Linked DNA regions of Arabidopsis thaliana. The protein of the gene in region 2 purifies or fractionates together with the protein of the main gene of each other region. This does not show direct contact. Each region holds a gene or a part of one and is shown on either strand. Other genes may lie near its edges. The genes, in order: AT5G19760, LHCB4.3, PGRL1B and PSAG.

Region 1 (8,419 bases), on a different chromosome or scaffold from region 2:
TTTTTTAGTCTTAAGGTTAACTATCAATTGCTTTAGGATCATGCATTTTTTTGTCTTTTTGTTAGTTTGAATGGATGAAAATTCCCTTAAAACATTATATTTATAGGATTGAATTGCTACTTAAGCTATCTTCCTAACCGCATGCATGAATTCAATGGATTTGATAATCGTTTATCTTGAAATCTTGATCCATTATATCTAAACAATTGCTTAACCCACTTTGACATCTTTAATCTGAAACCGCTTAGGAAAAATATGCTATATAGAATTAATATAGCTGATTGTCTCAATTCATCTAACTTAACTTAGCAATTAGAGAATTAATCTAGCTGACTATCTCAATTCATCCAATACAATCTTAGAATGATCAATTTATATGAGTTTATCTTTCGTATCATTACAATCATTTTGGTTATCAAACCATCATTTTGGTCGTACCTTTATCCACTCATTGAAAAATATAAAAATATTTGGCTCCGATTAGTAATACGCGTAATTGCAAAATGACATTTTTTTAATACGAGTATATAAGAATGTTACCAATTAAGAAAATTAACATAATATTTATTAAAACGCAAAAATACAGAATTTTTGTTTTCTTCATAGAAAATAAAAATAAAAATTCATTATGTAAATACATATTATATGTATATTTAATTTTAGACACATATATTTGTTTGTTTTATTATGCAATTTTTCATTCTACAAATTTATAGTTTTGCAAATTTTTATTCTCCTACTTATGTCATTAAAAGGATTATACGGGGTTATCTCAGAACTTGTGATTTCAAATCTTGAAAACACGTTTTACGTAGTCAATATTTATGTAAGTTAATTAATAAATAAATGCACTAAGAGAATCAAAATCTTATAACAAAGACAACCTTACATGACGTTTCTTTTCTGTTTGGCGCTTACAAAAACATCCTACTATAACCAATAGTTATTTAAACCACTAAACCCTAATTTAACCTATAATATCGATTTAGGTCGGTTAAGCTATTATTTACCTCACTCATACTAACGAAATACCTAAATTCCGGTAAGTTATTTAAACCGGATAAAAATCGACACCTTCCAGATCTAGATCCAGATCGAATCTCACGTATTTTGTCTATGCCCAGTCCCAAAGGCAGGCTGTCACAACTTGGCGGACCCCAACCAATTATCAAATCTCATTCAATAAATAATCAATTTCCCACAAAAATCATGGAAATTAGGAAAAAAAGAAGATCTCGCTCACCGCTCTCATTTCCTCAATTCTCCGTCCGTCGAAGAAGCGAATCGCTCGAAATTAGGGTTTCTACTGAGAGAAGATGCGAGAAATCATAAGCATTCACATCGGACAAGCTGGGATCCAGGTCGGAAATTCGTGTTGGGAGCTTTACTGTCTCGAACATGGAATCCAGCCGGACGGAATGATGCCGAGGTATAAACCCTAATTCACTCTTTGTACTCTGTTTCTGTGGATCGGAAGATTTTTGAGATACGAGTCTTTTGCGTTGTTGCAGTGATACTACAGTTGGTGTTGCACACGATGCGTTCAATACTTTCTTTAGCGAGACTGGTGCTGGGAAGCATGTCCCTAGGGCTGTCTTCGTTGATCTCGAGCCTACCGTTATCGACGAAGTTCGTACTGGTACTTACCGTCAACTTTTCCATCCAGAGCAGCTCATTTCTGGGAAAGAAGATGCTGCTAACAACTTCGCTAGAGGACATTACACTGGTGAGAATCCACTTTCTGCTTGTTCTAACTTGTTAGGGTTTTTGAAATGGTCCTTAGAATGCTTCTTGTAATTGCAGTTGGGAAGGAAATTGTGGATCTATGTCTTGACCGTGTGAGGAAACTTGCCGACAACTGTACTGGCTTACAAGGGTTTTTGGTGTTCAATGCTGTTGGTGGTGGAACTGGTTCTGGATTGGGTTCTCTGTTGCTAGAGCGTTTGTCTGTAGATTATGGAAAGAAGTCTAAGCTTGGTTTTACCATATACCCTTCTCCTCAGGTACTCTTTCTTTTGCTAGACACTGAAGTAGAAACTCTTACATGACATGTTTCTATAGTGGTCTAATTTGGATGAAACTTGGTTTTAATGCATATTCCTCTGTGATGTCAGGTTTCTACTGCTGTTGTAGAACCTTACAACAGTGTTCTCTCAACGCATTCCCTTCTTGAACATACGGATGTAGCTGTCCTCTTGGATAACGAAGCCATCTATGACATTTGCCGCAGATCCCTAGATATCGAGAGGCCAACCTACACAAACTTGAACAGGTTGATATCACAGATCATTTCATCCTTGACAACATCTTTGAGGTTTGATGGTGCCATCAACGTGGATATCACTGAGTTCCAGACCAATCTTGTCCCATATCCCCGTATCCATTTCATGCTGTCATCTTATGCACCAGTCATCTCAGCCGCCAAGGCTTACCACGAGCAGCTATCAGTCCCTGAGATCACCAATGCCGTTTTTGAGCCAGCTAGCATGATGGCAAAGTGTGACCCGAGACACGGAAAGTACATGGCCTGTTGTTTGATGTACCGAGGAGATGTTGTTCCCAAAGATGTTAATGCTGCTGTTGGCACCATCAAGACAAAGAGGACTGTTCAGTTTGTTGACTGGTATGATCTAGAAATGGATAAAGCTGCTACTGTTTCTACCTTCATGTTGTTATTATATAATAACTCCTTTGGCATGGGTTTTGTTTTGCAGGTGCCCAACTGGGTTCAAATGTGGAATCAACTACCAACCTCCAACAGTTGTTCCAGGTGGTGACCTCGCTAAGGTTCAGAGAGCTGTATGTATGATCAGTAACAACACAGCAGTTGCAGAGGTGTTCTCACGGATCGACCACAAGTTTGATCTCATGTATGCGAAGAGGGCATTTGTCCACTGGTACGTTGGTGAAGGAATGGAGGAAGGTGAATTCTCTGAGGCACGTGAAGACTTGGCCGCACTGGAGAAAGATTACGAAGAAGTTGGTGCTGAAGGTGGAGACGATGAAGAAGATGAAGGTGAAGACTATTGACACCTTTTCTCAAAAAAACTGCAACCAAAAAAAGTTTTTTCGTTTATCTGTTTTCACTTTTGATTCTGTTGATTGTTTAAATCCTGTAAAATATTCGTTCGGTCTTCGTGTTTTATCTCGGTTGGATACATTTTCATTGGTAGAGCGACCATTGCGAGTTCCCGAGTTCATTATCAAGCTTTTGTTGTACCAAACTTTGATAATCTTCTTACAACTGTCCATTTTTCCTTGAAGTATAATCTCGTCTATCGGTGCGCTAACGTTTATCAACGTTCTGTATATGCTTTGTTGTCGTATCAGCTAATAATACATTTATGAGATTCAACTAATGTTAACAAACCACGTTGATCTTCACAAAAGGGCATCAGAATTATCAAATTGCATCAGAAATACTGCTCCACTGGTCCACTATCTAAAATACGGCGTGAAAAATGCCAAAAATTATTGAACAAATACAAAATACAAATACAGAAGATCAATTTTTTTAAAAAATTAGAATTTATTGGACCCAAAAAATTCAGAATACTAACGATTTTCAACTTCATACTAGAAAATTAGAAATGGACGAATGTCAAATCTAAAATTCATATGAATGCGTAATAAATAACTCTAAATATTTGGATTGCGTAAAATCCGAATGGTGAAAAGTAAAGTCCAAATTAATAAATTTAGAAAATATGTCTGGCTTAGATCAGATCTCATATGCAAATGGAAAAAAATAAAAATTAAAAAGGCAAGGGTTTGGTGCAATTTAGTTTCAGTTGGGTGGTGTTAATATAAAAGGCCCATAAGCTTCACACTTCATCGTCTCCTCTCCACCAAGTGAATCTCTTTCTCTCTCTCTTTTTCTCCGCGGAAGGAATCTCTTCTTCTGGTTGCGTTTGAGTCCGTACGAAAACAAAAGAAAAGAGAGAGATGGCGGAAGAGAAGAAAGCTCCAATCAGTGTCTGGACTACCGTGAAGCCCTTCGTCAATGGCGGTGCCTCTGGTATGCTCGCTACTTGCGTTATCCAGCCGATCGACATGATTAAGGTCTGTCAAATGTTTACGGATACACGTTTCTGTATCACCCATCTCTATGTCTAAGCTCGTTAGTATTAACAATTCTTGCTTGATTTGCTGGTATTGATACCTACGAAATCCGTAAATGTTGTTCATCAGATCCGAGTCTGTAGATTTTATCTCTCAGATCTGAGTTTTTGTTTTGGCTTATTATAATCAAATTTCATTGCTCGGAACATAGTCAGACTCGTTTGAGTGTGAATTGTTGCTATTGATACATGTTTAGATGAAATGTTCTAGTTCAGATCTGGATTTTGATTAGAATAACGTTCTTAGGTTCATCACAATGTGTGATTCTTCGCCTGTGTTCATAGGATTTTTAAATGATGTGAATGTAATTAACTAATACTTTGTTTTGTTTCTGGTTGGTGAAGGTGAGGATTCAACTTGGTCAGGGATCTGCAGCCAGTATAACCACCAACATGCTTAAGAATGAGGGCGTTGGTGCCTTCTACAAGGTATAAATTGCATTTCTGGATGCATTACTTATCTTGAAGATGTACGTTTTGTGTAGTATGTTTTCTATTGATATGTTCATGACTTTTGTTGATTTGTAATGTATATGATTTCTGCATTTCCGGATCTGAGTCTCAGCTATTCAAAGAATTAATTTCCTTATCTAACAGTCTTTCCAACAACAACATTAGTTATACCCCATTGAAGATGTCTCCTGAGCTTATTTGATGTTAATTTTTTTTAATAGGGATTATCTGCTGGGTTGCTGAGGCAAGCAACTTACACGACAGCCCGTCTTGGATCATTCAAGTAAGTTAGTCATTCGTCTTTCGTCTTGAGCCCATCCAGATGAATAGATTTTTATTGCCTTATGGTTATGGATAAATCATCCTCTCTTCTGTCAATCTTATTAGGTTGCTGACTGCAAAGGCAATTGAGTCTAATGATGGAAAGCCTCTACCGCTGTATCAGAAGGCACTATGTGGTCTGACAGCTGGTGCTATTGGTGCTTGCGTCGGTAGTCCAGCCGATCTAGCACTTATCAGAATGCAGGCCGATAATACTTTGCCGCTAGCTCAGCGCAGGAATTATACCAATGCTTTCCATGCGCTTACCCGTATTAGCGCTGATGAGGGAGTTTTAGCACTTTGGAAAGGGTGTGGGCCCACTGTGGTCAGAGCTATGGCTTTGAACATGGGAATGCTTGCATCTTATGATCAAAGTGCTGAATACATGAGAGATAATCTTGGTTTCGGGGAGATGTCTACGGTCGTAGGTAAGCTGCTCTTCCAAGTTTCTCATACAGTAAGAATATATTTTTTCTGTGAGCAGGTAGATAGCAGTTAGAGTCAAGGATCCTAAGAATCAATCGTCTTGGAAATTTACATTTGTAGCATATAATCTCCTGATTACACGAGTGTTAGATTGTCATAAATTAAATGTGTATTTCACTTAATACAATCTATCCAAGAACTACACCAAGGAAAATACTTTATTAATGAGAGGACTCTCTAAACTCTCAACCGTTGCCCAAACCCAGATCTAAGACCAATCCAGAATGGATCCCATTGCGTTGTCCTTACTCCCTTTTAAGAGCTACTAATTGTAAGGTCGCTCAGTTGGCAAAACTACACTTTTCTCAACTTCCTAGGCTTGTTACACTAGTTCTGCACTAGACTTAACAAGAAACCTTTATCAGTATTTTCATATGGTCATGTAATCTCTGTATGATAAATTGTAGTTAAAATAGATCTCTGAGTTTGGTTTTTGTTTACTTTAACAGGAGCAAGTGCTGTTTCTGGGTTCTGCGCTGCGGCTTGCAGTCTGCCATTTGACTTTGTCAAAACTCAGATTCAGAAAATGCAACCGGATGCTCAAGGAAAGTATCCATACACAGGTTCGCTCGATTGTGCGATGAAAACCTTAAAAGAAGGAGGACCTCTGAAATTTTACTCGGGTTTCCCAGTTTACTGTGTCAGGATTGCCCCTCACGTCATGGTATAATAGCTCTTATCTCCCTTTTTTGTTTATGTTATTGTAATTACCACTTCGTGATTGCCTCTAAGATAGTTGTTGATCGGGTTTTCTTTTGGCAGATGACATGGATCTTCCTAAACCAGATTACGAAATTTCAAAAGAAGATTGGTATGTGAGGAACAAATACAGCAGCAAAAAAATAAGATGAGAAGAACGAAAACACAATTGGAATTGTGTTCATTTGCTTTTTAATCATATACATAACCTGCCTTAAAAGCATATTATTGTAGCTGTTTGAACTTTAATTTTTTGTTTCGGTCGGTGATTGGTCCGGTGAATTTTAAATTTTCTTCTTTGGTGGAAGTTTAAGACACATAGCCAGAGATTTCAAAATTTTCATACGAACTAAAAAAATTCTCTGAATGAGGAAACAATAAATATATGAAACATTGATGATGGGGAAATATTTGAAGTGCTTGAAGAAAAGCTTGTTTCAACTCTAAGAAAATGTCAAGTGCAGGGTTCCCAAATAATTGTTTCGAAACACCAAACATTTGCATCAGCAGACAAGACCGTTTCCCCAAAACTCTGCCGATAACAATCCAGCAACCACCTCTAGGCTCCAGGTAAGAAACATGTCTACTTTGCAACAACTTCTTTGTGAGCTTTGAATGATAAAATCACATTCCAAGCCAAAGCCACTACGTTTGAAGCAAGTACCTGCAATAATTCATATATAAGACATCGATTCATCCTCAAAGCCAAAGAAAATCTTGCTAAGCATACTAGCTAGAAGCTAATGTCATTCAAGCGTAATTCATCTCAAGCTCATCATGTCAAAGATGTTTTTAACAAGGGCTCAAAAACATGAAAATGCGTAATAAATTCTCAAAGATTATACTAAGCAGAGGATTAACAGCGTGTGGGTCGTTATTCGTTATGTATGAAGCATATCTATCTTAACCCAATTGTATTTTTTTTCAGACTCCCGTTTCATGTAGTCACAGAGTTTAGTATCAAACCTGGTAGTTCTGTGGAACAAATCTGAAGTTAAGAAACTGAAATGGTATCCATAGCTGCCAATTTGCTATCATTGCACCAGTCCACTCCTATACAACCAGCAATTCATGGATTCAATTAGAACACCGCAAAAGATACAAAGTATCAAATTTAGATTCCTGCACCGGAAATATTAAGTTTAGTTAGGTTTTAATCCAACCTGTTGTAGCTTCGGTATGACATTTGATGGTTTTCCTTCAAGTGTCACAACTGCTGATAAGAAAACTCCAACAAAAATAGGAGCAAAAACAAACTGCAAATACAAATTTTGGTGTTAAGTGCTAACACAGAGGAAGCAAGATGGGAACATAATTGTTAGACTGGGAACAGGAAACTTTGCTACCTGATCCAGTAGAAGTCGTATAACTGCGCCTGATAATCCAGAAGCTGTCACCACTTTGCTCAAATACAAATACCTAATGGATGGAGTTGAGAGATTTCAGAGAACAGAGAATAAGCATAAGTAATATACCAATGGATGCATAAGTCTCTTCAACTGAAGAACCACTAGCAGAGACGTAATATAGTTAGCTTTTGCGGTGTCATACGAGTGAAAGGTCCACGGAAATACCAGAAATGCAATGTTGGACCGACTAGCCCTAAGCCCAAGAAGGTAAAGGTGAGTGTCCTCTTCTTGTCCAGCGATGAGGTCTTGTTGATAGTAAGCTGCAACCAAAAGTGATACGAATAAGCAATGTCGCTCACATATCTAGCAGAATACGATCAAGCATTATAAAGAAAATGGGGCTTTACTACATTATCCTGTATTTTGGGTCTATTAGCTTCCATTCTAACTTTAAAAAAGAGATAGCACAATTCAAGTTAAAGTCTGTCTGTTCAGAAATACATAATGCAGCAGCTCATGAATACTGTTTTATCTCGATATATCCTGAATAGTGAAGAATCCAAACTTCAAAGATAGCACAAAAATGAGAGAGTTACCTGACAGATCAAATCTCCAACGAGGTTCAAAAGTGCTGCGGTCACAGCTTTGGTCAAAACAGGAGAGTTTGAGAGAAGAGCCTGGTACCTGAAGCACCATAGAAAAAGGCACACAAAGTGTGTTTATGCTCAAGTCAAAAGCAAAGAATCATACTAGAAAAAAAGTGTTCCGTGAGTAAATTATTAACACATCCAAGAAAAATTTCCAACATCTGCTTCAATGAATTGCTTTTCAAAGAAACATCTTTACACAAGAACAGGAGTAGTGACAGGAGCAAGTAAGAAAAATTACCATGAGAGAAGTGACCACTTCTTTCCTTTTCCGTCGCTTCCATCACCACCACCGCCGCCGGAACCACCACCACCACCGCCTGAACCACCTAACCCGCCAGAG
Region 2 (7,138 bases):
TTGTGCCACTATTTTGGTGGAGTATAATCAAAGGAGAAAGCTTTATAAGCGACGAGTGCATGTTTTTGGTGAGCTGATATGTCTTGACTCTTGACTTGAGAAGTTTCTTCAACTTCCGGTCAGTTTCGTAGGCCTATAAACTCTTGACTTTCAGCTCCTCCCTCTTTATTTTGGATGGTCCTACTCTAATTATTGATATGCAAATCTGACCGTTGCTATCACAAGAAACAAAACAAGCAAAGAGACACATATTTGTTGTTCGGTTAATTAATTCTCATCATCGGAGTTTGGTGACAATTTGTAATTATATATTCCAGGTAAGAATAATCTGTCACTAAATCTAATTTAGAATGTTCAGCTGGAAAACAACAAAAACGAAATAAGTTTGGAAAAATTCTATTAGAACATATCCTGATTTCCGAAATTTCCTAAGGTTTTGCTTAACAGTCAATATATACATATATCATTCCATTTACGAGACAAATTGTAAATGATCAACAATTGACTAGTACATACACTCACGCAAAGATATACGCGTACAAAGTAAAGAGTTACGACTTTTTTATTAGTTTGTTTGTGTAATAACTTGGCAATGCTTTCTTTATAACAAACAAGTAAATTAAATTCCTATCGAATGTTTTGAAAAGTTTGATAAGAAAAGGCAATCATTTCCTATCTTTATATTTGGTAGCATTAGACGAGAAAACAATGAAAGATCACAATCAAACACAAAATAGTTATTAAAAAAATTGGATACGATAGTTCACTGTTTCTTTTAGTACAATGAAACAAAAAAAAAATAAAAAAAAATAACACCGTAAGATATAAGTTAGGGTAACAAACGGCATGCATGTGGTCACATGGCTGAAATCGGTCGGTTCCTCCATTCCCGTATATGTTTGTGTTAACGAATAAACGAGTCTCGGTTCATTTCTTCGGCGGGAGAGGATGGGTCTAACATTATTTTACTAGTAACAATTTAATAAAACGATAAACATATATTGTGATGATTTTAAAATATTCCAATCCATTATATATTATATACAAATGAAATCAAGAAAGAAAGAAAAAATGTTCCAATTATCGAGTTTTGTTTATGCTTCACGTTATTTAGGTTTTACCGTTATTACACGGAGGCTGAAATCTGAAGACTCCGAACACTATTTTGTTTTAATTTAATACACCAGTCAAAGGATTCAAAGAGCTGGAAGTTTCTCTCAACATTTTTTTTTCTAGAATGTTTCAGTTTCCAATTACTATTTAAGATTTTTCAGTTGGCTAATTTTTATTTTATTTTAGTGTGAATGAGAGAAATAAATAATTTTACAAAAAAAATTATTAAGAAAGTAATACAAATAAAAATTCAAATATGAATAGCCTCATTTTTGTGTGATTATGATTAACATTACATGTATCCTTAATTTTAAGAGGGTTGAGAGCGTTTTATCTATTAACGAGACATTTAGGAGATTCAGATGATGGAAGATCAGAGCATCTACCAAAAAACTTTGCTTACTAAAAAGTATTTAGGAAGCAATGTTTTGGAAGTTTTACCTCAACAATATTTACGAAAAAGCTTTCTTTTGATGTTTTTAAGTATTATTACTCAGCATATAAAGAAACAACTGAAATTTATAAATAGAAAGTGGAAAATAATTAACTAACCCACAAATCCTATATTCATCAAAATTATGTATGAGGATGTAATTTCATAACATATAAATTGTGGATCTGTATCAATCGTCAATATCAATAAAAAAATTAGGATAGATCGACGAATGAATTGACTTTCATTCATCTTACGATTCTTTTAAAAATTAATCAAACATGATTTACATACAAGAAAATTAAATCAACAACGAAAACATTTATAGAAAAGAAATATTCAAAAGATTTTTATAGAAAGAATAAAATTTAATAATTATATTATATAGAAGAAATCCATAGGTAAAAAGATATAGACAGATAAAAATTACCAAACTAATCCAAAATTCTATATTCATATAAATATTCCAAGTCCAACAAGGAAAAATCATAATAGTATAAATTAATCCCTTAGTATTTATCTTAGCATCATCATCGCCGTCATCGTCACTTTGTCTCGTCCACCTTTTAAAAACCCTCTCTAAAGTCTCCGAAACATCTTCTCTCTTAAACAAATCCTCTCTGATTCGATGGGTTTTAGCAAAGAAGAGATTAGTAAAACCAGAAAGCTTTGGTCATCTCTATGGAGAGGAATCAAAACTATATTCGTTTTGTTCACAATGTTCTTCTCTTTTCTCCTTGTCTCTGCTCCTATCTTCCTCGCCGTCGCCGATGCTCTCCTCCCTTCCGCTCTCCTCCACCGCTTCTCTTCGCCGGCGACTCTCTCTTCTCATCTCACCAACTACGATTTCCGTCACTCCCTCATCGATATTCCTTTAATCTCAATCATTAGATCCGCTGTTATACTCTGTGAGTAAAAAAAAGATTCAAACTTTACAAAACCCAAAAAAAAAACAGAGCAATTGCTCTGTTTGCTCTGTTTCTGAAGAAATCGAAAACTCATTTCTTTAGTTTGATTTTTCGTGTAAACAGGTGTTTATGGACTCTGTGACGGACCAAAACTATCGAGAGGACCGTATCTGACAATAACAATGATTTGTTCAATATCTTCTCTAATCTACGTTTCGTTAAAAGCTGCGTTTGTGTTCGGTGAGCCAGCGATCGGAGACGGAGGAGGAAACTACTTCAGAGCGGCGGAAGTGGCTCTGTTTCTATGCTCGTCAGTCTTAGCCATAGGTCACATCGTTGTGGCTTATCGAACAAGTTGTAGAGAAAGAAAAAAGCTTCTCGTCTTCAAAATCGACATTGAAGCCGTAAGTCCACTTCTCCATCTTCTTTTTTTCCGCCGTTACAGAAATTTATTATTTTATTATATTTGATTGATAATCGATGTAGGGCCAATAATACCAAGTTGCATTTACTTTTTTTCAAATCTAGGAATGAATTAGATTTTTAACCTGCAATGGGTCAGAGTCAGAGATAGCATGTGAATGTATATTAGTCAATGTTGAATATTAAACACATTTTTACACATTTGGTCCTTTTGTGATTCTAGAAACTCGATGAGATTTGTCTTTCCGATATGTTTGGTTAGGAAAAGACTCTACTTGGTGAGAAGGTTTTCAAATGAAACTAAGAGAAAACAAAATTGAAGTTTGGATTGGAAAACTTTCTTATAGAGTTATAGTTTTGTTTTGTAGGTTAGAATTTCATGTGGAAACCGTGTGGCATGTAACCTAATTTTCTTAGTCATTTTATAATAAGATAATATCCGACATGACACGTCACACCTCACGCATGCATGCTTCATGATTGTTTTCATGGAGGCAAAACCATCAAACCTCTTTCTTCGTTATAGTTATTATCACCAATGGGAAAACTAATGTGTTTTGATTGATCCATTTTTCAGGTTTCGGCTTGTAAAAACGTGTACCCGAGATACCAAAAGATCTTATTACAACAAGAGAGACTCAAATAGAGACGTATTTCCAAGAGAATCAATACTTGTAAATATATACACATACCTCAACATGTAAATAAAACTAATATATAAAAACATACGGCGTATAAATGTAACTTCTCCTTCTGCCTTTCGGCGTTGACCCATCAACTCCTTCGCTTTTAAGTTTCAGGTAAACCAACCTAATCTCATCCTCTTCCAATGTTCTTGCTTACGTATTTGTTATTCTTCTTCTTTTTTTGAATAGAAATGATTTCTATAATATTATTAATTGGGAAGTGACATTATGGACGTTACAAAGTTGAGAACCCTTTTGCTGATAATGTTTGTTTATTTGTCTTTTTTTTTTCTTTAACAGAAGGATCCAAAGCAAAAGGAATGGAGATTAATTATATAACCTATGCTTTTTTAAATGAGACATTTCAGATGAACTGGCAGTTGTTAGCTTTAACATTATATTAGTTAGGGCGATTTGTAAATAATCCAGAGTTCCTCAATGAGAAAAGAAGCCCAAGGCTGTCTCTCCGTTTTGTATATATGTTTATGTTTGTATTTCTTTGTGGTTTTAATATATGTTTTGTAATTGTAATTTGTAAGCATAAGCACATAGTATGTGATACGTCCGCGTGGATTTCTTTATACGTCACCAAAATCTCTAATAGAATCGTAAAGCAACCTTTTTACGATCATTATCTATTTATCTTAACTTACATTCTAGATATTTGCATTAATCAAAGATATCTCAATCTATTTAACAATCTTATAAGAGAGTCTTTGTCTATTGCAAACTCTAACTTCCTATCTTTTCGTGTAAATAACTTAAGACTGTGAGGATGTCTAAACAAACCTTACCAAGTATAGGGAGAAATAGACACCAATTCGGTTTGATTTACTCAAACCAAACACCAATTTGAAAGCTGAGAGGCATTTTAGTTCCAGTTATATGATAAAGTACTAAACACAAACCAAAACCAAAGTATTGGCCTAAAATATACCAAGCCAAAGTTGTAGACCAAACTAAATGCTGGACTTACTACTAGACAATATCGGAAACACGATTTAAGAGGCATTTTGTAGTCGATTAATGGGCTTCTATAAATGGGCTTTAGGGGGACAGAACTTCAACTGGGACCAAAATATTTTCTCTTTTGTGAAATCGACAAAAGAAATCCTTAAAAACGAAAGAAAACAAAAGAAAGAAAATACCTTAAATGCAGACACCTACCATAAGGACGAAAGAGAGAGTGCAACGTCATTAGAAAGTAGCCAGGCCACAAAAGAAAAAAGGTAAAGAGAGAGACCAATCACAGGAGATAACGCTAAGATAAGGCTTCTTACATTTACCATCACATATAACATAACGTTACTATTATTCTAAAATCCAAAAAAACTATATGTTATAACATTGGAATCATCAGTCTCTAAGCAGTATCACACCAACTCAATATGGCTACCACCACTGCAGCAGCAGCCTCAGGTATTTTTGGGATCCGGATTCAAGATCCTAGACCTGGAACCGGTAGGGTCCAAGCCCGGTTCGGGTTCAGTTTCGGAAAAAAGAAACCGGCTCCACCGCCAAAGAAATCAAGGCAGGTCCAAGACGATGGAGACAGACTAGTTTGGTTCCCCGGCGCAAACCCGCCGGAATGGTTGGACGGATCGATGATCGGAGACCGTGGATTTGATCCGTTTGGTTTAGGTAAACCGGCTGAGTATCTTCAGTACGATTTCGATGGACTTGACCAAAACCTTGCCAAGAACGTGGCGGGTGACATCATCGGGATCATCCAAGAATCTTCGGAGATCAAACCGACGCCGTTTCAGCCGTACACTGAAGTCTTTGGGATCCAACGGTTCAGAGAATGTGAGCTGATCCATGGAAGGTGGGCCATGCTTGGCACTCTAGGCGCCATCGCCGTAGAGGCTCTTACAGGAATTGCATGGCAAGACGCCGGAAAGGTACACTCATACAGTCGCCGCTAACGTAATTTGACACGTGGACAGTCTCGTCATTAGTTGAAACTAAATTAGCATTTGTTAAATTAAAAAAAAATGAGGCATAGGTGGAATCAAGCCAAAAAAACATGCATGCAAATTTTAACCACTAAAATGGAAATAGGTTTAGGCTTTTGGTTTTGGAGTTTTGTTCAGATTATTTGGAGTCTGGTATTTCGAGTTCTTTTGATTTTTGGATTTAACAAATATGAGAAAAATAAAGAGAAAAATTAATTTTAGTTAGTACTATATGTTTTAGTTTGTTTCAATGCATTTAACTGAAAGTGTTAAATTTTCCAATGATTTTAATTTTTTATTCGGTTGGATTCGTAAAATTGAGTTTAGTTTGGTTTATGAGATAAAAAATTGCTTTGCTATTCGAGTTATTATAAAACATGAATTCGATTTTGAATTTATGCATTTCGGTTTGGTTCGCCTAGGTGGAATTGGTGGAAGGATCATCGTATTTGGGACAACCATTGCCGTTCTCGTTGACGACGTTGATATGGATAGAAGTGTTAGTGGTCGGATACATTGAGTTCCAACGTAACTCTGAACTGGATCCAGAGAAACGGATTTACCCGGGTGGGTATTTTGACCCGTTGGGACTCGCGGCTGATCCAGAGAAGTTGGATACTTTGAAGCTGGCTGAGATAAAGCACTCTCGTCTCGCTATGGTCGCATTTCTCATCTTTGCTCTTCAGGCGGCCTTTACCGGCAAAGGCCCTGTCAGCTTCCTTGCCACCTTTAACAATTAGTTAATGAACCTTTCTATCTTTATTTTATCAAAATAAAATTATACTTCAAAAACTGTATAATGCATGTTACGCTATACTTATAAAGAAGTCTTTTATTGTTTCGTGTCGTACTATCGTTGGAAATTTGGTTGTCACATCAATCGTTCAAAACCGGCCTCTAAATGTTGGTCTAGTGGCTTACGGAAATAAATATCGAAGTATTTATTGTTTATGTTCTAAACTAATATACCGTGAATATTCAACATTTTTATAAAAAAGATTATCATATCGAAATTCGATATACTTGACCATCCAATAATGGCTTGTATTGCTTTTTTTTGAATAATCAAATCCTTCTGTCGTATTCTTAAGACCATACTAGTATTATCTTATTTTTGATAAAAGATAAGATACGATATTGGAGCCAAAAAGTAGAGTTAAGATATGATATTTTCTTGATTACTAAATAACAGAAGGGAGAAACTATTGTTAGTTTGAGCTTAAGTAAGAAAATATATGGTTATTATGGTTTAATTTTGCATGATTACTACTAATAACTAAATATTCTGTTTATCTGATCTCATTATACATGTAGATACTATTTGTTGCTTTTACAACAATTGTAGCAATGAAAGAAAATTAGAAATTGAAGAAAATCTTGAAATGAATAGACAAAGGAATAAAGAAAGTGTAAGAAAGCAATAAAATAAACATGAATATAGAAAATGCAATTGGCGAAGAGTACACGTTGTTCCACTTTTCTGGAGAAAAAAGTGAATAATTGAAGAAAAGACGTTATACCTTCCCCATCCACATTTTCTTGCTTAACTGCAGAACAACACCAAATTCGACCCTATCAAGTTTTGATTCGTGTCTACATAGAAAGAGTCTCAATTGTTCT
Region 3 (8,603 bases), on a different chromosome or scaffold from region 2:
AACAAAACATGCTTCAAAGTTTACCTGGATCATCAGAGTTTCCTAAATCTTGTTTCCAATCAGTCAAAGACGAATCGACAACAGAAGCATTTTCCTTAGCAGTATCAGAAGACATGCCTCTTTAAAACCTATATTAACACACAAGAACAACAACACTCAATTAAAACGATAAAACTTGACAGCAAAAGGAGAAAAATGAATATCAATCAAAAGCAATAAAATATCAATCACCACCACAAACAGAAGTCACACTAAGCCATTTAAAAAACAAGAATAAAACATGTATTGACTCAAATCAGAGTGCAACTATAAACATAACCAGAAAAAATCTCACTTTACATGTTCAAATTATCTACACTCCAATGATAAACTAGTGTAGTTAGTAAGCATTTTACCAAATCAATTAGCATACTAACAAGAAGTAGTTAGTGATCATTACTCATTAGTCTACTACAATGATAAACTAGTATCCATGAAACTAACTTCGAAAGTTCAACACTAACCAGAGAGATACTATTTATAATCGAAATGACATAAAGTAATTTTCTTCACCTAATCAAAACAATTCAGTAGAAAACCTAACTCTTTCTCTATTTCTTCTTCCCCATAACCAAACAGAATGTCATAAAGCATAACAATTCAAAAGAACTAGTATCAAATTAAATTCTGAAACCCATTTCTTCCTCTATTGACTGTGCCCCATAACCAAACAGAACCCATTGAACAGCCAACAAATTACAGTGTGAGAATATGAACAACATAGAACAGTACAGTTACCAGTAGAAGAAAAAAACGAACCTTGGATTATCAAAAGCTTTTGGGATAACGAATGAGAAAGAACACAAGTGAAGAAGAAAATTCTATTTAAAAATCCAAGAAAGCCCTAATCTTTCTCTGTTCGCTTCTTCTCTGTGTTTTGTATTCTTATTTTGTTTCTTCTTCTTCTTCTTCGTCTCTCTCTCTCTCTGGACTTGGGCTCTGACAATGGTAGGGTTACGTGTAGGTGAGGAAAGATGAAAATTGAACGGACAAGATGCGATTAGTGATATAATCTAACGGTACAGGATTTGGCTGTTAAAGGGTTAAGTGAACCGCTGGTGGTGTATTGTTAAGTAAAGATAAATGGGCTACCTTCAAATTTCTTTTGACGTCGAGGCCTACTTCATTATTAGGCCCACTCACATACGATCAATTACCAAATACCTAATATGACTTTATTTAAAAACTAGTTGAGAAGTTAAATTTGTACTAAACAAAATATATACTTTGGGTGCCTAAAAACTTAAAATCTTTGAAAATTTAAGCTATCCAATCAAAATAGTACATATTGAAGGGGTTGTATAATACTCAGTCCACAATTCATTTGGTTTTATTATATTATAGAAACAAAAATAATAATTAACCAAGATAGGAGAAAAAAAACTTTGAAAATAAAATAGAAAAGCAAAGAGTTCAAAGTAAACTCTAACCAAATTAAAAGATAAAAAAAGATATAAAAGCATTTTATATTTGGTTAGTTCACCAAATAAAATCTCAAATTCATCGAGTACATCCAAGATTTGGGGAGATTTATGTTGATTAGTCCATTTAAAGTAAAAAAAAAATGTTAGTCTATTCTGACAAACTATTAATGTTAGTAGATGAATAATCATGCTATGCATGAGTTGTTGTTTTGAAAATTGTTAAAAATATGTTGTATGTTCTTTGTTGCTAGTTTGTGTAGTTACATAAATATTTAGATTCATCTTATATAGTTACAATTTTTATGCTTTGATTCATCTTTTGACGTAAAATATCAAGTATATATTTTTCATGTGTAATATAATTATCTATATACATAAGATCTTAATCTTTTTTTTGCTATCATAAATACATAGAATAACAATATAAGATATATTGATATAATAGTTGTAATTATAATTGAGTTATACATTAGCATGATTTTGTATTTTTCAATTTTTTTGAAGAAATAAGTTAATAGTATTGATGGAAGATTTAATGATGTGGAGGACTTTTGATTTTCTTAACTTAATTTTGCTAAAATTTTTATTGAATAATATAAAAACACATGTAATTTTCTTGTATGATAATGTGACATTCATATGGAGAGAGTTAACCAACTTTCATATATATATTTTTTTCGATTCAAAGTAATTCTATGACATAAATTTTGTGAATTATTTGTGCATTATAAACTTAAAAATTTATTTGGTTATTTACATGGGACACCCGTGTATCGAAAAGTAGAGAGAAGATTGAACAAAAAAGCTAACAAACTTTATTTATCTCAACAAAATATTGTTACAAGCGTTAGTTAGAACTGTGTATCATTAAGCTTATATATATTTGAACTTAAGCTCACTTAATCAAAGTTAACCAAATATTAAACCAACATTAAACCAGCGAACCATACATCATAATACGCCTCTCTCAAGTCTTTATCTTCGAAGTGTCTGGTTTCCGAAGATAAAAACATCTTCTTGAGTAAATGATGAAATGACCCCGGATGTAGTGGCTTTGTGAAGTACAACTATCCACAATTTTCATTTATAATATCTAATGAGAGCATATCCGACAATGTTATAAACATTTTCTATCGATTTGTTAGTGGTTTACAAACCACCAATGACAATTTATTTCATGATAGATTCATTGTGTTTTAACTTATGGACAACCAGCATCACAATGATTGTTTTTGTCTATGGTTTGAGTCACAAGTCCGATTCATAATTGTTTGTAAATAAATATTTTTTTGTTGACTAATAAATATTATATTACAACTTTTTCTTGCAAATTACTAAAACTCAAGATTCTTTTTCATTTTTTCAAACATATATATATATATATATATATATATATATATATATTACAACAAAATTCTCTTATAAATTATTAAAATTCAAATTTTTTTATCGCAATTAGTTCCTTAAGAGAACTTATAAATAAATTAAGTCTTACATACAAAATATGTTTTCAAAAGAGTACAATGTGTTTGTTGGTTTTGCTTTCGTGCAATATCATGAAATATGTTTATGGTTTCTTAATTATTTATACCAATAGGTGATTCACCACATGATGATGCATATGTACAATTTATCTATTATAATGAGTTTACTATCTTGACTCCCACAAATCAAAACCCTTATTTTTCTTTACCGTTGTCCGTTGAGATGATAAAATAATAAACTAAAAATGATTGTACATATTTTTGTTATGATTTGAGTTAGAGTTTTTTTTTTTCGTTTATTTCAATTCTACGTAAAAAAAATTATATAAAGAATTCATTTTATTTGTGACTAATAATATCTAAATATTATAATACAATATTTGTTTTTGGTAATTTACCAAAATTCAAGATTTTATTCTTATTTTTTTCAAAATCATGACGTGGAACGCTAGACGATCCAACTTCGCTTATCTCCTCCTAATTTTCCCTCCAATTACACGTTGAAACAAAACAAAACAAAAAAATCAGAAGGAACCTGAAACTATCTCACACAGTAAAAAACATCACCATCTCAATTCTCAACCACACAAATCCAAAGCTTCTAACTTTTTTTTTTGTTCTTCGTCCCGGACAAGAGAAAACAACGATCTCACTCAATCATCGGCGTGAGGGATAAAGACGATGGCTTTTACTCTAACAATCCCTAGATTTTCTGCAATTTCTCGCAAACCCATCACTTGTTCTTCTTCGAGGACACAGTGTCCTGCTCCCTTTACCCATGGACGATCGATTTCTCTCAGACGAAGACTTACCTTATTGCCCCTTAAAGCTTCTACTGATCAATCAGGTCTCGATTTTTATTTGCCTCTTTAAAGTTTCGATTTTTTTATTTGTTTTTGCCTCTGATCTTTCTTTGGGAACGAAATTGGTGTGAAAAGTTGAGATTTTTATGATCATAGAAGATAATTAGATAAATGATTTCCAATTTGTAGCCTTTTTAGGATTAAAATTTGTGTGTAGCTTAAGGTTCTTAAGTTATTAACTCATCGTTATGTGATCGAAACAAAAAAGCACTCAATCTTCAAATTTAGTTGAGAAAAGCTGTTGTATTGTAGCTTTGATTTTGTCTCTGATCATTGTTTGGGAACACAGTGGCTTTTGAGAAAGTTTTGATTTTATTCAATCATAGAATAAAATCACTCAAGCTTTAATTCTAGTTAAGAAAAGTTGTTATATGGAACTTTTTTCCTCTGTGGATTTTTAGTTTTTATACTCTAATCCACTAAAAGATTGCTCCTTGAGAGTTTCCTTACTTCTTAAAATCATTTTTATGACTTGTCTTCAGGTCAGGTGGGTGGGGAAGAAGTTGATAGCAAGATTTTACCTTATTGTAGCATCAACAAGAATGAGAAGAGAACTATCGGTGAAATGGAACAAGAGTTCCTCCAAGCGATGCAAGTAACACATCAAATAAAGTGTTTTTATCATTAGTATGGGTTTATCTCTATATAATCGAGGATTGTTTCTGTTTCTTTTCTTTTGCAGTCGTTTTATTACGAAGGCAAAGCGATTATGTCTAATGAAGAGTTTGATAACCTTAAAGAAGAGTTGATGTGGGAAGGAAGCAGTGTTGTCATGCTAAGTAATGAACACTTATGATTTATAGTTTTGTCAATAATCCATTCGCCTAGGTTCTTGATTCTTGATCTAATTTTATCTATGTATTGTAGGTTCTGATGAACAAAGATTCCTTGAAGCTTCAATGGCTTATGTCTCTGGAAATCCAATCTTGAGTGATGAAGAGTATGATAAGCTCAAAATGAAACTAAAGGTTCTTAATCTATTTATACTTACAAATACTATTTCTTAGTTTCATCCATCTTGTTACATGTGTAATTTGGACAAACGTTATGATTGTTTCTTTGGTTTCTGTAGATGGACGGCAGTGAGATTGTGTGTGAGGGTCCAAGATGCAGTCTTCGTAGTAAAAAGGTAAAAACTCTTAATTGTTCGGATAGCTCATATATTCTTTGGACATTACAGAACATAACATTAGATTCATTGTTTGGGACAAACTCTAGAGATGTTATAGACTTGTGGACCTCCTTGATTATGCAGGTTTATAGTGATCTTGCCATTGATTACTTCAAAATGTTCTTGTTGAATGTACCAGCAACTGTTGTTGCTCTCGGACTGTGAGTACCTCCGGTTCTGTTCCTCTCTCAACTTTCAAATCACATGATCTTAGCTTATGTTAGTTAGTTTAAAATTGTTGTTTTCTTCAATTGTTCTCCAGATTTTTCTTTCTTGATGACATTACTGGTTTTGAAATCACGTACCTGCTCGAGGTAAAACCTCTTTCGACTATTCTACTATGGTTTGGAGAATATATACTCGTAGTAATTGTTCCAGTATTCATGCAACTGATTAAAAAACAAAAACAAAAATCTGCAGCTTCCGGAACCATTCAGTTTCATTTTCACATGGTTCGCTGCGGTGCCTGCAATTGTATATCTGGCGTTATCACTCACCAAACTGATCCTCAAAGACTTCTTGATCTTGAAGGTAAAAACATTAATCATCTTCCAAGATCAGTTCATGAAGTGGAAAAATAAAAGTTATAGAACTAAATCTTGTTTTCTCAGTATCAAAAATGCTTAAACAAGAGATTAGACTTGAGATAATAATCTATTTTGTGCTAAACGCTACAAATTTGGATTGGTATAGTGCCAAATCCTACGAGTTTTATGCGATTATTATGAAATGCTTTTAATTTTCGTGGAACATATCTTTCACAGGGCCCTTGCCCAAACTGTGGAACAGAGAATGTATCTTTCTTTGGAACGATACTATCCATCCCCAATGATAGTAACACCAACAATGTCAAATGCTCAGGGTAAGCTTCTCAGCTGTAGACTCGAATCGATCACACAAATTGTCTACAACGTTTCTTGAAGTCTTATGATTCTTCTGGTTTTTAGCTGTGGAACGGAGATGGTCTATGACTCAGGTTCTCGTTTGATCACATTACCAGAAGGAGGGAAAGCTTAAATCTAAGAGCCAAGGTTTAATTCTTATCTCAACTTTGATTTCTGATGAAATCTTTCTTGATTCAATGGAAAATTCAAAATTTTAGGGTTTTCTTTTTCTCAGGGTTATGTAGAAGTGTATGTAAAATTAATACTAACAAATGAAGAAGGTGGAGAAATTGAAGAAGAAGGAGAAAAACCAAAGTTTGTATGCTGTTTTGTATAATCTTCAGATCTTTTCATGTAGCTCTCATTGGCTTGTGTTGTGTTTGTAAGTAAGTGTGAGGCACATTCAAAGAAAAACATCATATGATTACTTCTTTGAGAAACTTTGCTCTCATTAGGAAAGTAAAATAATTCAAGAAATAAGCACAACCTTGTGTAGTTTTGAAATAATACTTGTATTTTTTTTGTTGTTATAATTTTGAATGTGTTCCATAATATAGTTTCGTTAATCCATGTGAAAATCAAATATGATGTTCTAAATCATTTATAGGTGCTAGTCAAGGCCAGTCCAAGACTTTTTGACTTTTGTGATTCTATAGTTCATTTTAGTATGATTTCTATTAAGAAGCTGATAGATAGATAAAAGTGGGGAACATGTAATAAGAGTTAAGGATTATTACAAAGGAAAAAGTCATACAAATATTATAGCATGCCAAATTCTATCTTTTTAATAAGAAAAAGGTGCAATGATGATGATGACATCGTCGTCGTCCCATGCCCTCTATATCATCATTTACCTTCCTTTTTTTTCTCACCGTTTAGACATTTCTAAATGTATCATTTTAGGATCGAAAGAATATAAGCAATTTACAAGACTACAAAGTGTGTATAAAGTAAAATGTCACGAGGCTAGAAGAAAGTAGGATAGTATTCTAAGCATTATAAAACATCGGTCATGCTTATTCATTATTATGTCTTAAGGATTAATAAAAGATACATAGTATATACTATATACTGATCATGTCTGTCCCCAAAACACATGCCAACAAAGTAAAACACAATCAATATACTTCTCTCTCTCTTTCTTCTTGATCACTTCTCTCTGCAAAACCTAACTACTTCTTCATTCATCTTAGAATCATTGGGTCCTCTTCACATGGGCTCTATACCATTTATCTTCATCATCCTTCTTTTTCATGTACATAAATCCAAATCTCAGACCATTGAATCAGCACATTTTCTTGATCTTATGATCAGAGATTACACCATTAGAAACTTCAACATACATTTCAAGACAGGTGCTATCCAGAAAGTCCATCTTCCTTCGAATTTCTCCTCCATTGATATCGCCACAGCTAAGTTTAGATGTGGGAGTTTGAGAAGACACGGTGCAAGAATTGGAGAGTTTCACTTAGGTCCGGGCTTGACCGTGGAGCCATGTGTTGAGAGAGTGATCCTGGTGAGACAGAACTTGGGGTTTAACTGGTCTTCTTATATTTACTCAACCGGTTATAACTTAACCGGTTACAAATACCGGCTTGTGTCTCCTGTTCTTGGTTTATTGGCTTACAATTCAAATCCGGACGGTGTTGCTGTGAATCCTTATGAGGTTAACGTAATGGGCACGGAACAAAACCCTATTTTGATCAAATTCTTAAGCAGTGAGGCAAGTGGTAGCCCTAAACCTAACACGAAGAAGAACTCATCTGTCTTGTGTGCTTGCTTCACAAGTAACGGTAACATAACGTTTAGAGAGCAAGTTTCAGCTTATGTTTGCTTGGGAACAAGACAAGGGCATTACGCGCTTGTGATTAGAGCTCATGATAGTGGCGGTGGCGGTAGTACGGTGGTAACACCGTCGTCATCTCCGGCTTTGACTGACGGTGGCGGAGGGAAATTGAGCCGGTGGAAAGTGGCGGTTGGGAGTGTGATAGGTTCAATAATTGGAGCGTTTCTGTTAGGGTTATTGGTGGTGGCGATGGTAGTGAAAGGGAAGAAGAAAGCGATGAGAGAGGAGATGGAGAGGAGAGCTTATGAAGAAGAAGCACTTCAGGTTTCAATGGTGGGTCATGTTAGAGCTAATCCTAATGCTTCGAGATCAAGAACGATTCCAAGATTTGAAAATACTAGGTATAAGTAACAAGTAACAACATACTTAAATTAGGTATCTTCCTTCTTGATAAGATGTTTTCAATTTTTAGTGTTAATTCAACTCTGTTTTTTTTTCTTTTTTTTTTTTTTTTTTTTTTTTGTGTTGGATTGTAACTTCTAAGATCTTCATTATTTAGGTGACATAATATGTGGAGTTAACTGTTTTCCAAATGAGTTATTGAAAATATTGTAAGCCGCTTTAATTTAAAATTTTAATTAATTTTATTATATAATACAGATTTATGATTAGTTAAAAAAACTTCATCGTCTTCGACTACTCACCGTCTGACCAAAAAAATATCTAGATGTTTTATTCAATTCATTGTTTTTGTTCACCATCCTTTTATTGCAATTGGTACTACAAGATCCTAATTTATCCATTTGGTAGAGGTGAATTGTTTTTGGATCAGTCTCACCCAATAGATTCCTCTAATAGAGTGAATGCTTTATTTTTTGGCTAAGCTTTGATATTCTTTTGTTTTTATTCTTCTATTTTAAGATTTTCTTGTACCTCAGATTCTACATTTGTT
Region 4 (6,453 bases), on a different chromosome or scaffold from region 2:
TATTGTTTTCATGTTTTTAAAACTTTTTTTGACATGGGACCATGTTAGCTTCATGAAAATGTCTTTTAGGTTAAGATATTTACATTCTTACATGTTCGTATTCGGACGCCTTTTACATTGCAAAAGTGTTACTTATTTCGAACTTATTGAATATATGGAACTTGAACACTTGTAGGTGTATGCTTATTCAAGATTTACATGAATGGATGGTACGAATGTAACGTGCACAGTAAATGTTAGATCTAATGTTTTAGTGAGTATTTTCCAACGAAATGTGTGGAATTCATGTTTATTACAAACAATTTCTTTTAAAACATTTCCTTCATTATTGATTATTCATTAAGAAAATTAATTAAGAGAACAAACCTGTTCGTTTGCCCTAGACAAGGCAATACATCTTATGTTCCTTTGTGTTATTATTCCTTGTCTATGTTCTTACTTATGTTCACTCTTTTCTTGGTTACTCGGACAGATTCCAAGTTTCTTATTCGACAAGATAAATGAATCTTGGTTAACATCAACGAAAAGAAACGTGGAGATTGTGAAGAATTTAATGGACAAGATCAGTCAGTTGCCTGATGAATTGCTCGTGAAGGTACTATCATTTCTTTCAACAAAAGATGCTGTAAGCACGAGTATCTTATCGATGCGATGGAAGTCTCTTTGGATGTGGCTGCCTAAACTGGAGTACAATTTTAGGCATTATTCAGTGTCTGAAGGCCAGGGGTTGGCTAGATTTATTACTTCGAGTCTGCGAGTACATAAAGCTCCGGCTATTGAAAGCTTGAGTCTCAAGTTTAGGTATGGAGCAATTGGATCAATTAAACCTAAAGATATTTATCTCTGGGTTTCACTTGCAGTTCATGTTAGCAACGTCCGTGAGTTAAGTCTAAAGCTTTTTAATTTTGCGGAGCTTCCAACTAAATTGCCCAAAAGCTTATGTAAATGCAAATCGATTGTGATCTTGAAACTGAAAGACGAGATTCTCGTTGATGTTCCTCGTAAGGTATGTCTCCCCTCCCTGAAAACATTGTTCCTTGGACGTGTGACTTACTCGGATGCAAATTCTCTTCACCGACTTCTTTCCAACTGCCCTGTTCTTGAGGATCTAGTTATGGAACGAGATAAAATTGACAATTTGGGGAAATTGAGTGTGATTGTCAAGTCCTTGCAGAGACTAACCCTAAAGATGTCTCGTCCTTGTCATCTTGATGGGCTTAAGATGAATTCTCCTTCTTTGAAGTATTTGAAAGTCATTGATGAAAGGCTAGAGAGTGATAGTGATGATGAGAGTGACAGTGATAGTCCTCGATACTTCTACGATTTTGAAGATATGCCTAAGTTGGAGGAGGCAGATTTTGTATTGACATTCCAAAATATCAAAAAGTTCTTTGGATCAATCACATCTGTTAAGCGTCTTTCGTTATGCTTGGGAGTCTACACCGAAGAGGTAATCTGTTTCCATCACTCTATCCATCTCATTGTTGAACAATAAACCAGGTTTTCTTGAAGTTGAATCTTTTGTCATCTTATGCAGTCTTTATATCATGAGGGTCTTGTCTTCAACCAGCTTGAACAATTGAAGATATGTTCATGTGATTCAGATTGGTCAATTTTACTTGCCCGATTACTCAAAAGCTCTCCCAATTTACGAGAGCTCGAGGCTTACGTGATAGAAGTAAGTTTGTTCCTTAGAGACCTATACTCTTGGTTCAATTAACTATAATGTTTAAGCCAAACTTCTCATGTTTGATCACAGGATCATCCAAATGGGCGTACGGATCTACCAAATCAGTGGGACAATCAGCTGAATTGTGTTCCTACATGTTTGTTGTCCAGTCTCGAAACGTTCCGTTGGAGTGAGATGCATGGATTGCTGCAGAACCAGATGGATGTAGCTAAATATATCTTGAAAAATGCTCGCTGCTTAAAGTCTGCGACAATCTTTTTTCCGACAACATATGCTCAAGAAACAAGAGATGAGATGATCGAGGAGTTGTCACTTTCTTTTCAAGGTCCAGAAACATGCCAAGTCTTCTTCCATTGAGGATGTGAATCATAAGGATTCAAACTTTCATTTCCATAGACACTACCCTCCTTTATTACAATGGTTTTTTATTTGCAGCCGTAACTTGATCTAAACTTAAGGTTTATGTCTTTGTTTTTGGTTTTCTTTTTGTATACTTTATCTTTGAGCATACTGTTTTTGTTGAGACATTGGCTTTATCTTTCTGAGATCTTACATCTAGACTCTCTCTTAGGTATGAAACTAGCTTCACCAAATCACCTAAGTTTTTCATACGAACATTAGCTCAAACTAAATCGAAATCTTGAGCGCAAGTAAAAATGTGATTTCATCTCTCTGTTTCCATAGTGTATATACTATTATGTTCTTCTTATAAAACTCTGCAAACCAATCTTTGTAAATGGAGAAATAAAACATTTGCAAAAAGAGGGACAAGTCTTAGACAACAACAACAACAACAGAAGAAGAAACAGAGATAGAGAACAGATTAGATAGCTTGCAACACAAGTCAAACATATACATATACATATACGAGAGATTGACATTGAAACGAATCATCCAAAGAAGCTTGGGTCGTATCCATTGCTGGAAGTAGCCAAGATGTAGTAAGCAACGATGTGTCCAATAGAACCCCAAGCAAGAACATCAACAATGTTGAATCCAATTGGATCGTTCGATTTCAAGAGACTGACGTACTCCTTAGCACGATCATCTCCAGCTTCGAAATGGGTTTTTCCGTTCTGCTCCGGTAAGCCCTGTTTTGCTACGTTCTCTCTCTGGAAGTTGAAGAAGACGAAACGGCCGAGGAAGAGGGAGAGACCTGTGCTGAGACTTATGACGATGGAAGGGCTTAGCTCAGCTCTCACGACAGCGGAGGAGGATTTTCTCCCGGTGGTTGATAGTTTGGGTAGGGCGGAGGAGGAGCCACCTAGACGGAGGGGACGAAGGCCATGGAATGAGATGGAGTTAGGGTTTTTGTGGGAGATTGCAGTGGAGAATGTGGTTGGTGAGAGCAAAGCTGATGCGCTTGTGGCCATTTTGCTTCTTCTTCTTCTTCTCTAAGAAAAATTTCAGTAATAGAAAAATGAGTGGTTTTGGATTTATGATCTGAAGGTTTGGTTTTGGATTCTGGCAAGCAGGAGAAGAAGCAGAAGAAGATTTTGTTTGTGAGGATACGATTACGGATGGATGATGTGGCATTCTCTCGTTGGTTCTTTCTGGATTATGAGATTTTCAAAGAAATATTTGCGTTCAAACCCTTGTAATTTAGTAGGATACACTTTGAAGAACCTACTATCTTTTTTTTAAAAGATTTAGTCCATAATCTACACTTTAATAGTCTTTTTTCTCATAAAGTGTTTGTATTTTATTTATAACTTGTGTTGTAAAAACTCAATATTACAGGTCTTGATACATATGAAACTAAAACCAACAAACTTATAACCATAGGCCCAACGAGAAAAGCCCAATCGAGAAACATAATCCTTTAAGGAAGTAAGCTAAATAATTCCCGACTGCAAAGCCACGTGGAATGCTAACAAATAAAGTTGAAGACGTGGATAGATGATTCTTCGTCACCGTTCATCGCCGATCTGTTCAGCAACAACCGGAAAACTCCAAAGCCACCGGAAACAGCTAGAACTTTAAACACAGAAGTCCATCGGTTTTTAATTAGAGAATCCCAACAAACATCATCATCAAATTTGCAAAGAAAGGATCTTCCAAAAGACAATTGATTCCCGAATTCCAAAAACACAGCGGCACAGATTTTACAAAAATTGATCAAAGCCAATAAGAGTCCATAATTCATTGAAAAGCTATGAATCAATTCCTGTAATTGCAAACTCAAAAGTAAAAGCATCGAATAATACACTTCATTAAGCGATAATTCGCTTCAATCGATATTATCAACACATCCCTAATAAAATTTATTGTAAGTAAATAAACAACTGGAAGAAAAACATAACAACGGCGGAGACAAACCCGAAATCCGGTCAAGACGATACTATGTAAGCTACTGCTTCCGGAGTGGTGCCGACCAAGACGACGCTAAGGAAGCCATCGCTGTCAGAAGAAAGCTAGCCAACTCCGCTAAAGTAGTCAGAGATGCCAGACACGAGCCCACTATGTGAGGAACATGAGCCTTCGAATCAAACCAGAAGGCAAAGGTTTGATCGGAAAGTTTAGCTTTCTCTAAAAGATATTAAAGAGAGAAGAGAGAGAGAAACTTACCATTGATACACTTTAATAGTCTAGGAAACAGAAATATTATGAAACATCATGATATATAATTTGATCCAACAATCGGCAGAAACATCTCAAATTGAGTTCCTCTACAAGTGACCATAGCCAAATAACGAGCCACAGACTCGAGTAAAGTTGTCTCTTTGCCAAGAGTTGAGACTTGATGCAAACTCACCCGAACCTCATATACTTATGTACAATACACGAACTCCAACACTCATACAAGAAATGAACATTAACTAACTAAATCCGCTCTCTGTGACAACATTCCTACTAGTACTTGCACAACACATCATTTACACCATTAGAGATCGACTTGAGTTTATGTTTTCTCTTTTCTCGGGTTTCTTAGTTTAACAGAGCGACAGGAGAGTGCAGCAGCACATATGTATCGGCTCTTTTATTCCTCTGGTATGTCGGGTGATCATAGAAATGAATCAAGGTAGGAGTAGTTGTGGCGCCGGCTATACTCAATTAGACTTCCGTAAGTGCGGTCCCAAACGCCTATGAAGAGTGCTTCTGTGTCGGGGCTAAATGATATTCCCGAGATCTCCCCAAAGAAGTCGATCTCTTGCTCCGTTTCATACCCGTTTGAGACATCATACACATGGACAAAGTCAGCCGGCTCAGCCATGGCCATGTACTTCCCATCAGATGTGTAGCGAATGGATCGGATTGCTCCAAGGTTACCCCTCAAGACAGCAACAGATTTTGACAGGTTACGAATGTCCCAAACCCGGCAGGTCTTGTCCTGGTTACCTGTGGAGAACGTGAATCCATCTGGGTGCCATGCTGATGCAAAGGAAAAGTCCAGATGTCCTGATAGCGTTGCCAGTGTCTGTAGAAAATTCCAAATTTAGTTAGAAAGCATATTTATTCAGGGATACGTAACACAGAGATCGTTTCTGTACCTTTCCAGTGTTGGGGTCTACCAGAAGGCTTTCAGGGTTGTCTCCCACAATCGTCAACAATTTACCATCAGGACTTAAAGATGTGTGCTATCAATACAAAAACCCCCTTTCGTTAAATAATTTGGGGTGCAATTACATTTACAATTTCGTAATGTAAAAGAAGATATCAGATTACAAAACGTATTTGTAACTGAAACTTACTGCTACAAGCACTACAGATCAACTTATACCAAAACAAAAACAAAAAAAAAATCAAGGAAAAAGTAGGGACTTACATTCACCGGCCATGGAAAGCGAAACTGGTTAACAAGCTGGTATCTCTCCATATCAAAATCTCTGACTCCACAATCATTATTCGACGCAGTAAAATGAAGTGCCCCACTGCAGACAGACAGACATCAAAAAATCAGTTAGAAGAGACAAGTTGGCAAATACAACCTCAAGCAAAAGACATGCAAATACCTGGGTTTGTTATAAATCTCAATAGCATTGGTTATAGCATTATCATCATAAGTAGTACGTGAACAAAAGCTCACACCAGGTCTATCAAGATGCTGAAAATAAAATCAATGTGGAAAAAGATGAAGTTCCTTGATTAGAATGCATGTAATTGTTGTGTGAAAAACTAAAAATCCATGATTGTAAAACTCTAGAGCTTACCTTGCATATAAGTTCTCCTTGAAATCCACCGGCAACTAAAAATTTATCTCTCACTGCGAGTGTACTCACTTGAGTCTTTGTAAATCCCTCCAACAAACTTCCAGGATGTTTCTGCACCCACACAAGAAAAAGACAACAACCATTAAACTGATGTAGGTATTTATAGAGGAATCTTATATCATTCAGGAAGAAACTAACCTCAGATGGGGAAACATGACCTTGAACATTGAGAACATCATGCTTTCCGGATGTCAAAGTAGAATAGTGGCTCACCAAATATTGTGACATAAGGTAGACATCGTGCTTAGAAGTTGCCCAAACCAAATTCCTCAACTACAATAAAAAGAAAACAACTTTAGTTAGATGTCCGCATAAAAATAGTCTATGAATCCATATCTTTTAAGCTTTAACTTAGGTAGACAGTTGTAGCAATTTGTGCACCCTCATTACCCAAACACATGACATACTGATGGAATTACCAAAAAAACATTGACTCAATAGAAAATAGATATGTTTAAATAATATGAACCTGGAAATGAAGAATACTTGATTTGATAGATCTTGTATTCCGCCAGAAATCATAAAAAAGAGCCCCTTTCTGTGTGGCCATGC

What was found.
Region 1: the proteins of LHCB4.3 (region 2) and AT5G19760 fractionate together in Arabidopsis thaliana (co-fractionation; one large-scale study listed by BioGRID). This does not show direct contact.
Region 3: the proteins of LHCB4.3 (region 2) and PGRL1B fractionate together in Arabidopsis thaliana (co-fractionation; one large-scale study listed by BioGRID). This does not show direct contact.
Region 4: the proteins of LHCB4.3 (region 2) and PSAG fractionate together in Arabidopsis thaliana (co-fractionation; one large-scale study listed by BioGRID). This does not show direct contact.

The regions. Positions count from the first base shown.
Region 1 is NC_003076.8:6,677,372-6,685,790, reverse strand, and holds AT5G19760 (Mitochondrial substrate carrier family protein), read left to right. Parts: upstream 1-3,736; 5' UTR 3,737-3,945; coding exon 3,946-4,062; intron 4,063-4,466; coding exon 4,467-4,550; intron 4,551-4,795; coding exon 4,796-4,857; intron 4,858-4,961; coding exon 4,962-5,323; intron 5,324-5,830; coding exon 5,831-6,045; intron 6,046-6,143; coding exon 6,144-6,200; 3' UTR 6,201-6,485; downstream 6,486-8,419. Other genes in the region: TUA3 (tubulin alpha-3), read left to right, coding at 1,317-1,429, 1,512-1,726, 1,804-2,003, 2,115-2,623, 2,715-3,030; AT5G19750 (Peroxisomal membrane 22 kDa (Mpv17/PMP22) family protein), read right to left, coding at 6,664-6,744, 7,047-7,133, 7,244-7,336, 7,427-7,499, 7,655-7,749, 8,026-8,113, 8,318-8,419. UniProt on the Arabidopsis thaliana protein: Catalyzes the transport of dicarboxylates, such as oxoglutarate, oxaloacetate, malate, and succinate, and of tricarboxylates, such as citrate, isocitrate, cis-aconitate, and trans-aconitate by a counter-exchange mechanism across the inner mitochondrial membrane.
Region 2 is NC_003071.7:16,740,933-16,748,070, forward strand, and holds LHCB4.3 (light harvesting complex photosystem II), read left to right. Parts: upstream 1-4,695; 5' UTR 4,696-4,951; coding exon 4,952-5,464; intron 5,465-5,568; coding exon of another isoform or gene 5,569-5,613; exon of another isoform or gene 5,614-5,695; intron 5,696-5,940; coding exon 5,941-6,258; 3' UTR 6,259-6,492; downstream 6,493-7,138. Other genes in the region: AT2G40095 (Alpha/beta hydrolase related protein), read left to right, coding at 2,175-2,454, 2,578-2,858, 3,455-3,523. UniProt on the Arabidopsis thaliana protein: The light-harvesting complex (LHC) functions as a light receptor, it captures and delivers excitation energy to photosystems with which it is closely associated.
Region 3 is NC_003075.7:7,172,735-7,181,337, reverse strand, and holds PGRL1B (PGR5-like B), read left to right. Parts: upstream 1-3,449; 5' UTR 3,450-3,628; coding exon 3,629-3,794; intron 3,795-4,164; coding exon of another isoform or gene 4,165-4,210; intron 4,211-4,292; coding exon 4,293-4,405; intron 4,406-4,492; coding exon 4,493-4,589; intron 4,590-4,677; coding exon 4,678-4,778; intron 4,779-4,882; coding exon 4,883-4,939; intron 4,940-5,065; coding exon 5,066-5,142; intron 5,143-5,243; coding exon 5,244-5,295; intron 5,296-5,401; coding exon 5,402-5,512; intron 5,513-5,745; coding exon 5,746-5,843; intron 5,844-5,928; coding exon 5,929-5,998; 3' UTR 5,999-6,012; intron 6,013-6,100; 3' UTR 6,101-6,452; downstream 6,453-8,603. Other genes in the region: AT4G11970 (YTH family protein), read right to left, coding at 25-115; AT4G11950 (transmembrane protein, putative (DUF1191)), read left to right, coding at 7,079-8,062. UniProt on the Arabidopsis thaliana protein: Ferredoxin-plastoquinone reductase involved in cyclic electron flow (CEF) around photosystem I. The homodimer is probably not involved in CEF.
Region 4 is NC_003070.9:20,800,294-20,806,746, forward strand, and holds PSAG (photosystem I subunit G), read right to left. Parts: upstream 3,157-6,453; 5' UTR 3,089-3,156; coding exon of another isoform or gene 3,064-3,088; coding exon 2,581-3,063; 3' UTR 2,377-2,580; downstream 1-2,376. Other genes in the region: AT1G55660 (FBD, F-box and Leucine Rich Repeat domains containing protein), read left to right, coding at 401-1,450, 1,538-1,678, 1,760-2,047; AT1G55673 (uncharacterized protein), read left to right, coding at 2,678-3,088; AT1G55675 (uncharacterized protein), read right to left, coding at 3,561-3,887; AT1G55680 (Transducin/WD40 repeat-like superfamily protein), read right to left, coding at 4,695-5,108, 5,182-5,268, 5,457-5,562, 5,644-5,735, 5,842-5,952, 6,040-6,174, 6,371-6,453. UniProt on the Arabidopsis thaliana protein: Not yet known.